Linked DNA regions of Oreochromis niloticus. The protein of the gene in region 2 purifies or fractionates together with the protein of the main gene of each other region. This does not show direct contact. Links are inferred from orthologs where the notes say so. Each region holds a gene or a part of one and is shown on either strand. Other genes may lie near its edges.

Evidence for each region. Proteins that work in one complex are often made in the same cells at the same time.
Region 1: the proteins of phf14 (region 2) and hmg20a purify together in Homo sapiens (affinity purification with mass spectrometry; 3 studies listed by BioGRID and IntAct, counting the BioPlex papers as one, with this or other methods). This does not show direct contact. The link is inferred for Oreochromis niloticus from reciprocal best matches to the Homo sapiens genes PHF14 and HMG20A.

The regions. Positions count from the first base shown.
Region 1 is NC_031972.2:45,102,485-45,109,518, reverse strand, and holds the start of hmg20a (high mobility group protein 20A), read right to left. Parts: upstream 3,010-7,034; 5' UTR 2,856-3,009; intron 875-2,855; 5' UTR 851-874; coding exon 785-850; intron 623-784; coding exon 413-622; intron 1-412. UniProt on the Homo sapiens protein: Plays a role in neuronal differentiation as chromatin-associated protein. Acts as inhibitor of HMG20B. Overcomes the repressive effects of the neuronal silencer REST and induces the activation of neuronal-specific genes.
Region 2 is NC_031985.2:37,420,487-37,427,550, reverse strand, and holds the start of phf14 (PHD finger protein 14), read right to left. Parts: upstream 3,016-7,064; 5' UTR 2,909-3,015; intron 2,641-2,908; 5' UTR 2,547-2,640; coding exon 2,540-2,546; intron 1-2,539. UniProt on the Homo sapiens protein: Histone-binding protein. Binds preferentially to unmodified histone H3 but can also bind to a lesser extent to histone H3 trimethylated at 'Lys-9' (H3K9me3) as well as to histone H3 monomethylated at 'Lys-27' (H3K27ac) and trimethylated at 'Lys-27' (H3K27me3).

The sequences.
Region 1 (7,034 bases), on a different chromosome or scaffold from region 2:
GAGGGCATCAAGCTACGATCTGTTAGAAGCCGTCAGAATTTCTTTGTCAGCTCCAAACACACGGTTGCTATGGATTCTAAGGGAAGTTTTTCCCTAAGCCGTTTTTGTGCAAAGTGAAAAATTACATGATGCTTTGCTGGTCTGAGGTATTGTTAAATCTGGCAAGGGATATTCTGTGTTGGCAGGTTCCAGATGAATATCGCTTGCTTCTGCTCTCTTTATTTTCTTCCACTGCTTTCTCAAAAGCTGCACTCCATAGTTGGACGTGAGTGAAAACATAGAGATTTGTTTTTAATCCTTTTGCAGGTAATCTTAAAACAGATGGAAAGAAATGCCAACAGAAATGTTTGACACATGTCTCTCCGCCACTGTGGGCTCACTGTGTAATCCTGTCTCGAACTTCTCTGCTGACCTGCTTCTCCTCGGGGGGCAGCTTGCTCCACTCGTTGCCCAGCATCCTTGTAATCTCTGGAAAGGGCACGTCTGGACGCTCTGCCCGTAGCTGCTCCCGTCTGTCGTTCATGAAGCGAACGTAGCCCGTCAGGGGGGCCTTGGGAGCGTTGCTGTCCTTCATTGGCTTCTTCCTCTTCCTCCCCTTGGTCCAGCTGCCACGTCGGGGTTTCTGCGAGATAACGAAAACAAACATGTTTTAAAGGTTCACGTAGGAGTTCTACCCTGACGTGTACTGGCAAGACTTTCTTTCAGTGTGAACTGGAATTTTTATTAATTTATATATGTATTTTTTTTAAACGTGTCATTCGATATCTGTGTGTTCACCTCTTACCTCATCTCCGTTTCTCTGGCTGTTGTTGTCAGCATTGGCTGCAGGTGAGCCCGTCTGCTCATCCATGACTCTTACGACGGAAGATTAGATCTGGAGGGAAACACTAGATGTTAGAACAAAAAACATTTCACAGCAGAAACGGCCAATAAACTATTTTTAAAACATGAATATACGATCTCAAAAGGCCAATGTTTAGTTAACCTAAAGATTGTGCCATCTATGGCAGTCAGGTGAAAAACTAGGCCATAGATTGCTGCCCAAAGGTGGGTTAAGCATTTTGAGACTGATCGGCTTCTTGTCCAAACTCCACCCAGGCTTGGCTGCAAAACAGTCTCTTGGCCAGCCTCATTTCCTCTAATAGAAATGTCTTGCTGCTATCAATCACAATTGAGCAAGTAAATGAAAAAAGAAAAACATAACACATTCACTTCTCAAGCACTAACGCAGCCTATTTTTAACAGCAGCAGTGTGGCAGTATTGCCTTAAACTTGGAGATAAGAGAACACCACTGAACGTGCTAAAACACTCTCTCAATAAAAGCACACTCACTCACCAAATATCAGTGCTTTAAAAAATGAGATTAACTGGAATCGCCATATTTTTGGAGTCTCTAACCCACTTGAAAACACTGCAAAGCATCGGTGCAAAAAACCCCAAATGAATGGCAATAGCACCAAATTAAAACCTGTGCTGATTTGGGCAGCTGCAGCCCAGGTTGAGCTGTAAATATAGGAGCAACATTGTGCATTTTAACCTTTGACCTCTCCTTTGACAACATGGGAAATACACCTCTTTAGCCTGGATGTGGTTTCTGCCCTCTGCCATTAAATACTGTGGGAAAAGTCACAGAGGAATTAGTCAGTCTACCACAAAAAGCTCTTATGGAAAGCCCCCCCCAGAAAAGAGGGGTAAGCCAGGGTTTTCTTTGTTAGACTTTTTTTCAGACCCTGAAGAAGTGATAATAAAATCCAGTGATTCTGCAAACTTATCCCCCATCTGTCATCCAAGGAAGCTTATTTGATGTTACTTTAGGAGTTCTGGGTTAGGTTGTAAGACGCTGGGTTTGACTATGAAAAAAAAAACTCACTAAAAAGTAAAAACGAGCACAGAAAAGACTAAACAGATGCTCTGTGTAGCAGAAAAAGGCTATGCCACAGTGCCCTCTGCTGGACCTTAGCACATGATGCATGACTCAAATCTCTTTTCTCCAGATAAAATGGTCCACTATCACAATCTGTGAGATAAAATATGAGGTTTAATAGTTTCACTTTTTACACGGTGACATATTGAAGCAGTATGTGATCACCATAAGGCATATACCAGAGTGCGCTTTGTCCTTTATTATAGTATACAGCTTTACTTTGGTACAAGGAGGTATCTAGGCCAACTGATGTTTCTATATTTTACACAGCAGCAGCTATAAATTATTAGACACCGCAGGATGCTGTTAGGTTAGGTTTAGGAGCTCTCTGTCAGTCGTTACGACGTTTATGTATGTGTATGTGGGATCTTCTCTGTGTGATAATCAACCATTAGCGTTTAGCCATTAAAGGCCTAACCCCTGAAGTAGTATGTTTAAACAGTAACACGCTAGGCCAGATAGTGATTAGACTTACATTTAACTTATGTAGCTAGATGTTTATGTGGGCTATTATACTGATGTATCGCTAAAAATTAAATAAATAAATAATAATCCATTTGGCCAGCAGGAATAGCGAACTATACTGGCTGCTACATGATGCTAACATACACTTGCTAAGCAAAGCTAACTTCAACAGCTGCGACAGGCAAACCTCACTCTTGGGCTGTGTGTCAGCTGAATGTCAATCAATCGACATAAAAAAGGGAGACATATTCAAATGATAATTATCAGAAGTAACAAGCTAACACTAATATATTAAACTTCTTAGCTGATTGCGAAGTGTGCTCCTAGCTAGCATTAGCAAGCCATTAGCATGAAGATGGGTCATCGAAAGCCTTTGTTTTCATTTAACCTTGACATGTGATTTGATACATCAGGAATCTAAATATTTTATGTGGATATAACGGAAGCCATTGTGTGGAAACCAACCTTATATAACGCACCCTCTAGCTGGAGCTGCCCAGAATATTTTCCTAATCAAAACAATAAAAATGTCCACTCAGATAGAATCGCACCAGATAGACAGAAAGCATGGGGGCTCCTGATGTACTTAGTCCTACTACAGACGGTTTTCCCTACGCGTATGATTTGATGTTTCATATTATCAGTGCTTTTTTGGCAGTTATGAGAAAAGCAATGTATTTATAGCGCAATGCGACTTTTCTGAATATATATATATAATAGGCAATACATTTATACATTTGACTGTAACTGGGTGGTCTCTGATTCCACCCATGCAAAACAAGCACCAGAAAAAAACAGCATAAGAAACGAAAATTAGAAAATATTTTCTACGTGATGTCTTTAAAACCCCCAAAAGCTGATTTTCTTTGATTCTATACAGCGAACTGCTCTATGCTTTCTAATTCTTGGTCTCATTTTTCTTCGTGTACCCAACCAACCACCCTCATTTAGAGCGCTACCTCCCCCTACGGTTGAGTATAAGCATTACATGTCTTAAATGGATACGTTTTTCAAAGTCAAAATCTCTTGAGAAATTTCAAGCCTTAAGCCTTTCTAATCAAACACAGGAACAAGCTACAAACCAGAGCTTGTTAGAAGTATTTAATGGATGAGATGAAAATCTTTTTTCTGATTTGGGCTGCAGTTAGGAGTCTTTAATCTTTTTGTAATTTATAAGACAATCCACATTAATTCAAGTACCACTGTTATTTATTTTATTTAGCCTTTATTTAACTAGGAAATCCCTCGAGATTATTCTCTCTTTTGCAAGGGAGGCCTGTCCAAGATGGTACACCATTGCAAAATTACAAATTATAAATGAATTATAACTCAGTACACATAAGAGGAAATAAGCAGGTCAAAGTTAACATAACAGGAACATAATATAAAAATAGAATGAATAAATACATAGAGTCCAGCTTATGAATAACACTTGCACTCTTCAAATGCAGAAGACTTTATAATAGCGCTGAACTCTCCAAGGGAGACTAACACATTCAAAAAAAGAGAAGTTTGCACTACCAAGTTCAGAAGAAATCCTACAGAGGAGTGCAAATTAGTAGCTGATGTTTTAGGAGTTTACACAGATAAGAAAGGGTGTACAAATATACCAGTGCTGTTTACCAGCTTAATGAGGGACAAGAAACCAGATTATAAAATGATATTATTATGAAATGTAAAGTGCAGAGAAGGCAGCATGTATGTAAATGTGTGAAAGGTAAAGGTGAGCATAATCAAGAGAGTATAAGAATGCACAAGGTGCTCTCTAAAGCATAAATACCTAAATATTTATTGGTTGATACTCTTTCAATAAAGTCTATGCCTAGCAAATAAAAACAAACATTTTGTGAGAGATCTGGACGTGTTTTCTGGAAAGCAGCATTATGCAATGATGCAATGATAACTGTGGGTGGCTGTAGCTCATGAGGTAGAACAGATCACCAACTGATCGGAAGGTTAGTGGTTTCCTGGACTCCTGGATATCAAGTATCCTTGCTCTATCCTTGTTCTGAAGGATACTGTCAAGATATTAACCCCACATTGCTCTCCGATTCATCCATCAAAGTATGACTGTAGTTTAGAAGAAAGTGCTTGTGTGCCTGGGTGAATGTGGCATGTTGTACAGAGCGCTTTGAGTACTCCAAGAGAGTAGAAAAGTGCTATATAAGAATCAGTCCGTTTACCATCTGATCCAGACTGAAGCCAGCTGAGTAAAGTATTGTGTCACCTGCATAAAGTTCCACTTTAGCTTCCCAATGTTATTAATAAAAAACAGAAAATTAAACAGAGCCATTATCAAAACAAACTAAAACTGAACTTTAGGGGATTCCTTTTAAAAGTTTGACTTGTATCCATCTGTATAAACATAGTGTTAATACAGATGGCTGGTTCAAGTAGCTCCTGAGCTGAAAGCAACATCACTGAGCCTAACAACAGCTCGGTCTACAGAATCAATGCCTTTAGCATAACCCATTCATCTGTGCCGCCTCGATTAGCAACCGAGGCGGCACAGATGCTTCCTGTCCAAGGAATTAATGATATTAATATAATTTGTTACCAACCTATTTGTTGCTATGACCTAGTCTAAGGCCAGACTGGGTTTCACATACAATCTTATTGTCAACCAAGTATTCTTTCAACTGAGAGTTGCATCCACATTGAAAGTGTGGATGCAGGGGGATAATTGTTTAAATTTTAATAAGGGGCAAACATGGCCTGTATTTGTATAGCGCTTTACTAGTCTCTAAGGACCCCAAAGCGCTTCACACAACCAGTCATCCACCCATTCACACACTGGTGATGGCAAGCTACATTGTAGCCACAGCCACCCTGGGGCGCACTGACAGAGGCGAGGCTGCCGGACACTGGCGCCACCGGGCCACTGACCACCACCAGTAGGCAACGGGTGAAGACTGTCCAAGCCGGGGCTCGAACCGGCAACCTTCCGATTACAAGGCGAACTCCCAACTCTTGAGCCACGATCGCCCCGAGAGAGACATAGACTGCTTTCCAGGTATTATTATTTTCCAGGTATTATCATATTATTCTAGGGACTCAGATTAAAAACAGCCATAACAGGCTCAATAATAAAATCAGCTACATGCTTGAAAAGATAAGTATTCAGACTGTCAGGTCTAGATAACCTTTTTTGGATCAGTGGATTTCAAAGCTTTGCGAGTCACCACAGTCAAAACAGGTCTAAAGACAAAAGGGTTCTTTGAAAAGGCAAGATGACATTCAAATCAGAACACAGACACTTTGCCACATTTGTATTAAAAACAGAACTAGCTGTTCATTAAAATGTCCAACAATGTCAGCTTTACTCTTAATCTCAACTCATTTAATAAATATATATTCAGGCAGGACTGGAGTAGAACTGGGAACATGCCAGTAATTTTATCTGATTCCAAAATTTAGAGGGATTATTCAGGTTTTATGACATTGTGACTTTGACTTTTGAGTCTTAGACTTGAAAAAAGTTACATGTGAAGTTATTACATTACACTAACTGTTAATATAATTACTTTATAGATCAAGTAAAAATACCTGTTCCTCAAGATTGTTAAAAATACCTTTGAAAAGCAAAACAAGGTTGTGTTTGTTCTTTGTAACTAAGGGTGGATTTGAGTACACATCCACGTAGGTGTAGATAAAATCACAACTTTCTCTGTGGGTTAATGTGGGGTGTTCAAACAGTCTTGGTGTGAGAAACAGAACTAAAACCTTCGCTAAGATGCAAGATAAAAGCGTGTGCTTCCGAGAGGGAGAGCGAGACAGGGAAGGCTAATGCGCTAATTCTTAATTAACAGATCGTAAATCGACACCCAGGCAGGAGTAAACCAACTGTAGCTGCAGTCTAATTAAAACTTTGATTGTAATCTCACTCCAATTATCCTGAGGTAATCCAACCCAGTTCTTCGGCACAGATTGGGTGCATCAAGCCACCCGTTAGATTTTTAGAAAAGAGAGTCTTTATTTATTTATTTATATATTTATTTTACAATATCTTGTTCACACAATCACAACATCAAATTCCAGGCAATATGAGATCTCTAACATTTAAACACTATGAAGTTTAGAATCTATTTGCTGCTATTATTTCAAAAAGAAGTTTTCATATTAAACAGAGCTGCCTTGATTTCTAGTGTAGCTGTTGGTTATCCCGTTGTACCCACAGAGGTGCTGTAGCAGCAGTTACACTGACAAAGTGAGCTTGTCCTGGCAGGTTAAAAAGAGGAGTAACAGCTCTAAGTCAAGTGTCTTGTGGGTACATCTCATTCAGAGCCTGCTGTCTGTGGCAAAACTGACATTTTTGGGTTTTTCTGCAGTGGGATTTTTCCCTGCAGGAAAATATTGAACACTAGTGCAAAAACTCTAAGTCCATGCATCTCAAACCAAACTCTGACAAGCTACACTAAACTGGTCAATGCAACACGGCCAGAAAAGTTGTTTACCATATGAGGCTGTATTTTTTTTCTCCACTCTGGGATTTAAAATAATAATGACAATGAGCACACAAAAAGAACCTGATATTGGCGAGGTTGGAAAAAGCGTCCGGCAATAAAAATGGCAACTCTACCAGCAGATATTTCATATTCTAGGTCTCTAACAGTCATGAATTTTATAAGAGGTAGCCTTGCTATG
Region 2 (7,064 bases):
TTGTTTTTACTTTATTGCCTAATGATCATTACAAAGCATAAAAGTGATAATATTTTATTTGATAGTATTTCAAATAAAATTGGGCTACGAAAAGGAGATGCTGGCAGGTCGTTATGTGCCCATATGTAAAGTGCAGCGTTCTGTACTGCTGACCATAATGTTTTATTACTGCGATTACAGCATGCTGTAGGTATTAAAGGTATGCTGAAGTGGTTTGAAACATGGAGAGTCCTCTTCACACACTAAGATTAATTATGGAGTTCCATAAGGTTCTGTGCTAGCACTAGGGCTGCTCGATTATGGCAAAAATGATAATCACGATTATTTTCACTGAAATTGAGATCTCGATTATTTGACGATATTTATTTAACAATAACAATGTATTGAATAATGACTTTAAAGATGTCAAAAAATAATATAAAATAGTGTGCAAATAATGATTACAGTGGAAATGTTTGCAATATAAAAAATAAATGAAAAATGTAAACATCTATGTTTAGTGAACTTCAAAATACTGCACAATATTTGATCCACGTCTGACTCCGCGAACACATAATGTTTCCACACCACTGAAGTCGTTTTATCTCTCTTTTCAACCAGCGGCATTCTTTCTTCAGCAGCCATTATCCTCTCCTCTACAAATAACTTCTGCTTAGCTTTCCGAGCTTTCCGAGCAACCCTCGGGTCCTCTTAATTGTTGTGACGCGTGTTCGAAACGCAGAGAGGTGCGCTCGATTTGCTACACGGAGCAGAGCGAGAGTAAAGCACGAGGGAGGTGCTAATAATCGGCTTAGTCATTTTTAATGATCGTTGAAAGCCCAGATCGTAATCTAGATTAAAATTCGATTAATTGAGCAGCCCTAGCTAGCACCAATTATTTTTACATTATACATCCTTTCCTTAGGCTGTATCATTAGAAGGCACAGAATACATTGTTGTTGCTATACAGGTGATGCTCAACTTTATCTATCCAAAACAGATAACACACACTATTTAGTTAAACTGCAGGAATGTCTCAAAGGTGGGTAGATGACCTCTAATTTTCTGCTTCTAAATTTAGATTAAAAATTAGGTTATTGTGCTCGGCCATAAAAAAGTCTTACAAATATGGAATCTAGCCTCTGGATGCCACTACCTTGACCTCCAGTAGCACTGTGAGGAGTCTTTGAGTTGTTTTTGACCAGGATATGGCCTTCAGTGCACATATTAAACAAATATGTAGGACTGTTTTCTTCTGCACAATCTCTCTAAAATTAGAAACGCCCTCTCTCAGAGTGATGCTGGAAAACTAGTTCATACATTTCTTGCTTCCAAGCTGGACTATTATTTTAAAAAAATGCCTAAAAACTCACTGAAAAGCCTTCAGTTGATCCAAAATGCTGCAGCAAGAGTACTGACGGGCACTTGAAAGAGAGAGCGCATATTTCTCTATATCGGCTTATCTTTACTGGCTGCCTGTCTGTGACTGTCTGACAATCCAGGTTCAAATTTAACGTTCTTCTCATCACATACAAGGTCTTGAATAATCAGGCCCCATCTTATCTTAAAGACCCCACAGTACTGCATCACCCTAATAGAGCACTTCGCTGGAACACAACGTAGAGTATGACAATGGAACACTGTGAACTATGGGTTATTCCCTGAATTGAGGGGAAAAAAAGAGGAAAAAAAAAATGGGGTAGACTTAAGTGTCCATAAAGGGCTGAAAAATGTCAATGAGAGAGCCACTGACAATTTGTCAGTAAGACAGTTCCAGGCTGTGAAGGCCTATACTGTTTTCTGCAACCAAGTCTATGCTTTTCATACAGAATCTTTTTCTTGCCCCTCACATTCCTGGTGAACTCCAGAACAGGAGAAGCAGTTTAATCCCACTTGCCAATCAATCAGGCCTACAGGCCTACATGCTGCTGAGTTTTGGAGAACTCCACGAAACTATGTTTGAAAGGATAGGATAGGTGTTTTATGGTTGAAAACTCCTAGCCATAGGAAAAAACATATACCTATAAAATACCAAAGGTACTGCAGTGCCATAGGTAGGTTGTGTACGACAATACAAAGTTGCCTCAATTTTATAATGATGGTCTAGTTCACCTGTGCGGACTGCACCTCATATTGACAGCGAGTTAAACTTAAAGACATTTAAAGCAAACTCAATTTGTGCTTTATGCAAGTCAATCTATGCTGCTGCAAAAAAATATTCAGCACCCAAACGTCCAATTACTTGTGAGCCCTTAACGTTCGGGTATCCTGTATCAAAAGGGTAGTTATCTCCCAAACGCGTCTTTAAATAGTGACGTAAACCTATGTATTATTTTCCCTTCAACACCACACGAAACACGACGTTAATCAGCTGCAGACACTAGGTTTTCTGATGTTGGGATTTGTACAGCTCTTAGCTACGCAACTTGCCTATTAGCACGCTGTTAGCAAACAAATAGCACCGCTGCGGTTTTGTTTTCACGAACGATACATGTTTGTTTTTCTTTTTAAATGAAGAATCTACGATAGTCGTCTAAAACAGCCTAAGAGGTACACTTACCAGACATTTTGGTCCGTCAAGCACCATAGCTAATCGTGCTGAGCATGTTAGCTGTATTTAAATTATGACGTTCTGATTGAATCCCTGATGCTCGTGATGCTCTTAGTATACATATAGGGACACAATTAAAAGCATCGAAAAGTAAGATCCAAGTAAATGTATTAACATCAGACCAAGTTAATGCAAAACTGCACGTGAAACACAACAGCATTAGCATTTAGCATACCAGCAACATCACTACTAGTCACAAAGTACAGCCGGGCTAGCTAACTAGCAACAGTTCGAGGGAACAAATAATTGTTAATTGTGCCAGACGGCAAATACAATTTGACTTTATATACATATAAATGACGACGTGGAAGGACTCACTCTGTACTTCACGTTCACTACGACAGGTCTATTAGAAGCATGGTATATGGACAATGGAGAACACCGTGGTGACGTACCGACGGTTGCATATTGTTGCTATGAGGACAGTTACGTAGTACAATATGACAGTCACGTGAGAGCTAGTGAATCAAAATAATAATATCTGAGTTTATAAACTTTATTTTCTTAATGATAACATTAATTGTGTATAGAGTGCATGTAGGCCTACTATAAAACCAATGCTAAGTTTGGAACCGTAGAAAATATTAATACAGCCCCCACTTACTGTATACAAGTTTTTATCATAAACTATCCAATTTAGGGGATTTCTATCTATTTATGTATTGTTAAAGAATAATTACTAATTTTTCATTTAGTCTTCCAATAGAATAACATAACTTTTTTTTCCCCAAAAGTTGGAAAATCCCTGTTACAACAGCTAAAACCAATCAATAGCTTGAAATTTGTATGTAGCACAACAAAATTTCCATAAGGTAAAAACTTCATAACACAAAAGAACTCAGTTAAATAGAGAGAAAATAAAGGTTAGTGTGTAAAAAGCTAACTATAAAAAAAAATAAATGAGATAAAATGTTTATGCACATCAGAGATGGTTATGGAGAACTTTTCTAAAAATGTACCTATTTGAGCTGGAATTGATGTCAACTACACTGAACATTCTTGGGGATGGTAAAAGTTTAAAATTCCATTTTAAAATCTATTTATGAACATTCTCACATTATGGTGGAATAACAATACTTTTCAGGTTTGAACAATCAGGTTGGGTGCACTGTATCAATATGAAAAAGGTGGACAAATAAATTATCCACATATATTTTTCAAAGATTCAAAATTACACTTAAATTGTTAAGCATTTTTAATTTAAAGTTATAGGATTCAAAATGTATTGTTAATTAATTGTTTTTTAATTGTATCATTGCTCATGTCAGATGTTTGGAATTTTTTTTTTTTGCTTATTTTTGATAAAAAATAATTTAACAGAGAATCTAATGCTGACAATTAACTTACTTAATTTAAAACAGATGGGGGGGGGGATGAAAAATTATGTTTTCTAATGAAAAATTGTGAACGATGCTGCAAAAGAATGTAGTTGTATAAATGTATACTTTGACTCATTTTCAAAATCAACTTTGTTTCTGTTGTCCTCTTTTGACTTTGTCAGTTTCGCAAATAAGAGATGATTAAAATAAATGAACCTAGATTGATCCTGATGCATGTAAAGGGGAAGACGGATGGGACAGGAAAGCAAAAGGGATGATTACAGCTGTCCTTTCTTGATGAAAAATGGCCCTGAATTATGCTAGAAAGAGGCCGTTTTTATCAGCTTGTATCAAAATACTGAGGATATCACAGTAGTGATCACTGTCATCATCACTATCAGCATTTTCATCCTTTTCTCTCCTGCTCTGCTTTGATGAACATGGAGCCTGTTTGCAGCTGATAGTGTTGAAGGGAATGTGTTGAGTACTTTGTCTGACATTGAAATCAGTGGGATAATGATCGTCAGGCCAGGTAGAAGTATAACAGCCACTTCATTGCACCTGTTTTTCAAGCAGAAAAAAAGGGTTTATGCCTATAGTCCTTATGTACTAGTATAGTAAAATCCTCAAAACACTCCCCAAACACAAAAGGAAATCAGAAAAAAAGTTTTCAGAAGTTGAGACCAAGAGAAAGTGAGGTGAGGATGGTCTCTCTCCAGCGCATCACATATGGAAGTTTAGGCATTTAAATGCACTGTGTTTAACTTTTGTGTCATTTTTCAAAATGCAATCCAACATGACATTGTCATATGCACTGGATTCCTCAGTTGGAGCCTTAAACAGGCTGCCTTCTGCTAAATGGGTCAAACTGGGCAGAAACTATACAAACACATAACATCCTTATAGAATATGATGTAACACTATAGATCAACTTACCTCAGAATATATAAAGCATATAAACAATTACAGCAATATGATGCAACAAACACAGCAGTGCTACTAATCCAAAATACTCAAAGCTTCATAGAACTGAAACAAACATTTATTTTTAGCTCCATTCTGCTGCTGATACATACTTCAGGTTTCTGAATATTAAACTTGTTGCTGCCTTTCATAGTGTGTAACTTGAAGGCCCTGAGTACTTTCTCCCACACTGAAAACACTGGAATGATAAAATTATTTGAACATTACCTAATAAGACTGATTCAGGACAGACAATTAGTTATTTTAAACTTTTCTAGCAGTCCTTCACAAACAGGGAACAGTCTGTCTATTCTCTCCATCTGTCAGCTGCTGCTGGCTCTTCCTCCTCCTCTTCCTTACACACTGCTGAGTTTGTCATGGTGGATCATCAGGGGTGCAAAGCCTCACAGATGATGTGCAGCAGTGGGTCCCTCAGTCTGTCCTCACTCTGGACACTTGCAGTCGTCACACATGGAAGTCAAATTTGTGATGAGCTGCAGGATTCAAACACAAGTGTAACTTATAAATACATGTTCATACTTTTATTCCACAATCAGAGAGAAAGAAAAAGAGAGAGAGTGCAGGACAGACAGACAGGTGACAGTCTCAGGTGTACACACTGCTACAAAACAGCACAAGAGGAGGAGGATTTAGTGTTTGTGTTATTACGAGTGCTAAACAAGAAGAGCTCCCAGATGCTACAGTGGACACATGTGTGACTGCTGTGATTAAAGCATCTTTCTTTCAGCTTAACGAGTGAACCGTCAGCTCGTTCAAACACACGTTAAAGTCCGTTTGGCTCGACACCACCGAACAGAGGCAGCAATATAACATAGCTAACATTAACAGTGCAGTGAATCCTGCTTGTGCCGTCATATTCAGGACTGCAAACCGAGCAGCATCACTGACTTTCAGCTTGTTGTGTTTGTGGATATATGACTGACTTTAATTATCCATGAAATTATCACATTCTCTGTAAGATTAAGGTCAACTATATATGTATGTATATATATATTGAAGTAGAGGCTTTAAAACCAAGTTAACACTGAAAGTACTAACATCGCTAATGTCACATAACTTTGCCGACATGTGGCCAACAGTAATGTTTTAATGTTCTTCATTATTAAACATTCGCACATAAATGACATCATATTCAGTACTTACTTTTGACAGTTCACTCTTCGGCAGCTCCCTTCTGCCGTCTGCTGTATTTTGCGGCAAAATTATCCACACCCACCACCGCGCTATGAATTGTGGGATATATGGGACCACGAAGCGTGCACCACGCTTGATATTTGGGGAAATCGACGGTGCATTTGGAGTATGCATTTGAAGTACACTTTGGGCGTTTCTCAATATGCGTACTTGTGCGTACTTGCGTTCTCGTGTACTCGTGATACGTCATCAGTCGGAGACCAAGTACTGTTCCAATTCGAAGCACGCATCAAGCTGAGAACGCGAAAAAGTCCCGGATGTGTTCTCGATCCGCCCATTTTATCGAGCATGCATCGGTGTGGACTTGGTACAGCTAAATATCCCAGAATGCATTTCGTCCAAAACTCAACAGCGGACTGCCGGCACATCGTTTTCAACCCCCCCCCCCCCCCCCCCCCCCCCCCCGCTCGCGGTCTTCTCACTACTCAGGTTAAAGAAACCCCAGCAGCTGTCTATAGTATTGAGTGTCCACTAAAATAGAAATAAAAGCGTTCTAACATCTCACCTGCTTGTTTTTATTAAGGTATGTACACGTATGTACATGTACACTATTTTTATTAATAGAGGTTTCACTACTGAGGTTAAAAATGATATATAAGTCACTTAGATCACTTCTAAATGTTAATGTTTGGTTTATTTCAGTGTTTTATTTGTTCCTGAGTAAACCGGTTTGGCTGTGATTACAGTTAAGCTTCATAACATGTTACTCACAGTTAAATTAAGAGGGGACGGCAGTAAAAACTCCGGACCTGTGACATCATCACGTACGCAGGTGTTCCAATTGTACATATCGCGAGTCCGTGCTCGCGTTCTCGGCGGGTACGTACTCCCGTGCATTCTTGGCGAGTATGTACTCACCGAGAACGCGAGTACGTACTCGCGTACTTGAGAATTGAGAAACGGCCTTTGTATTGGGACAGCCGTCGTCGCGTGGCGGTGACGTAATCGCACTCAAAATGCGTACTTCAAGCGTGCGG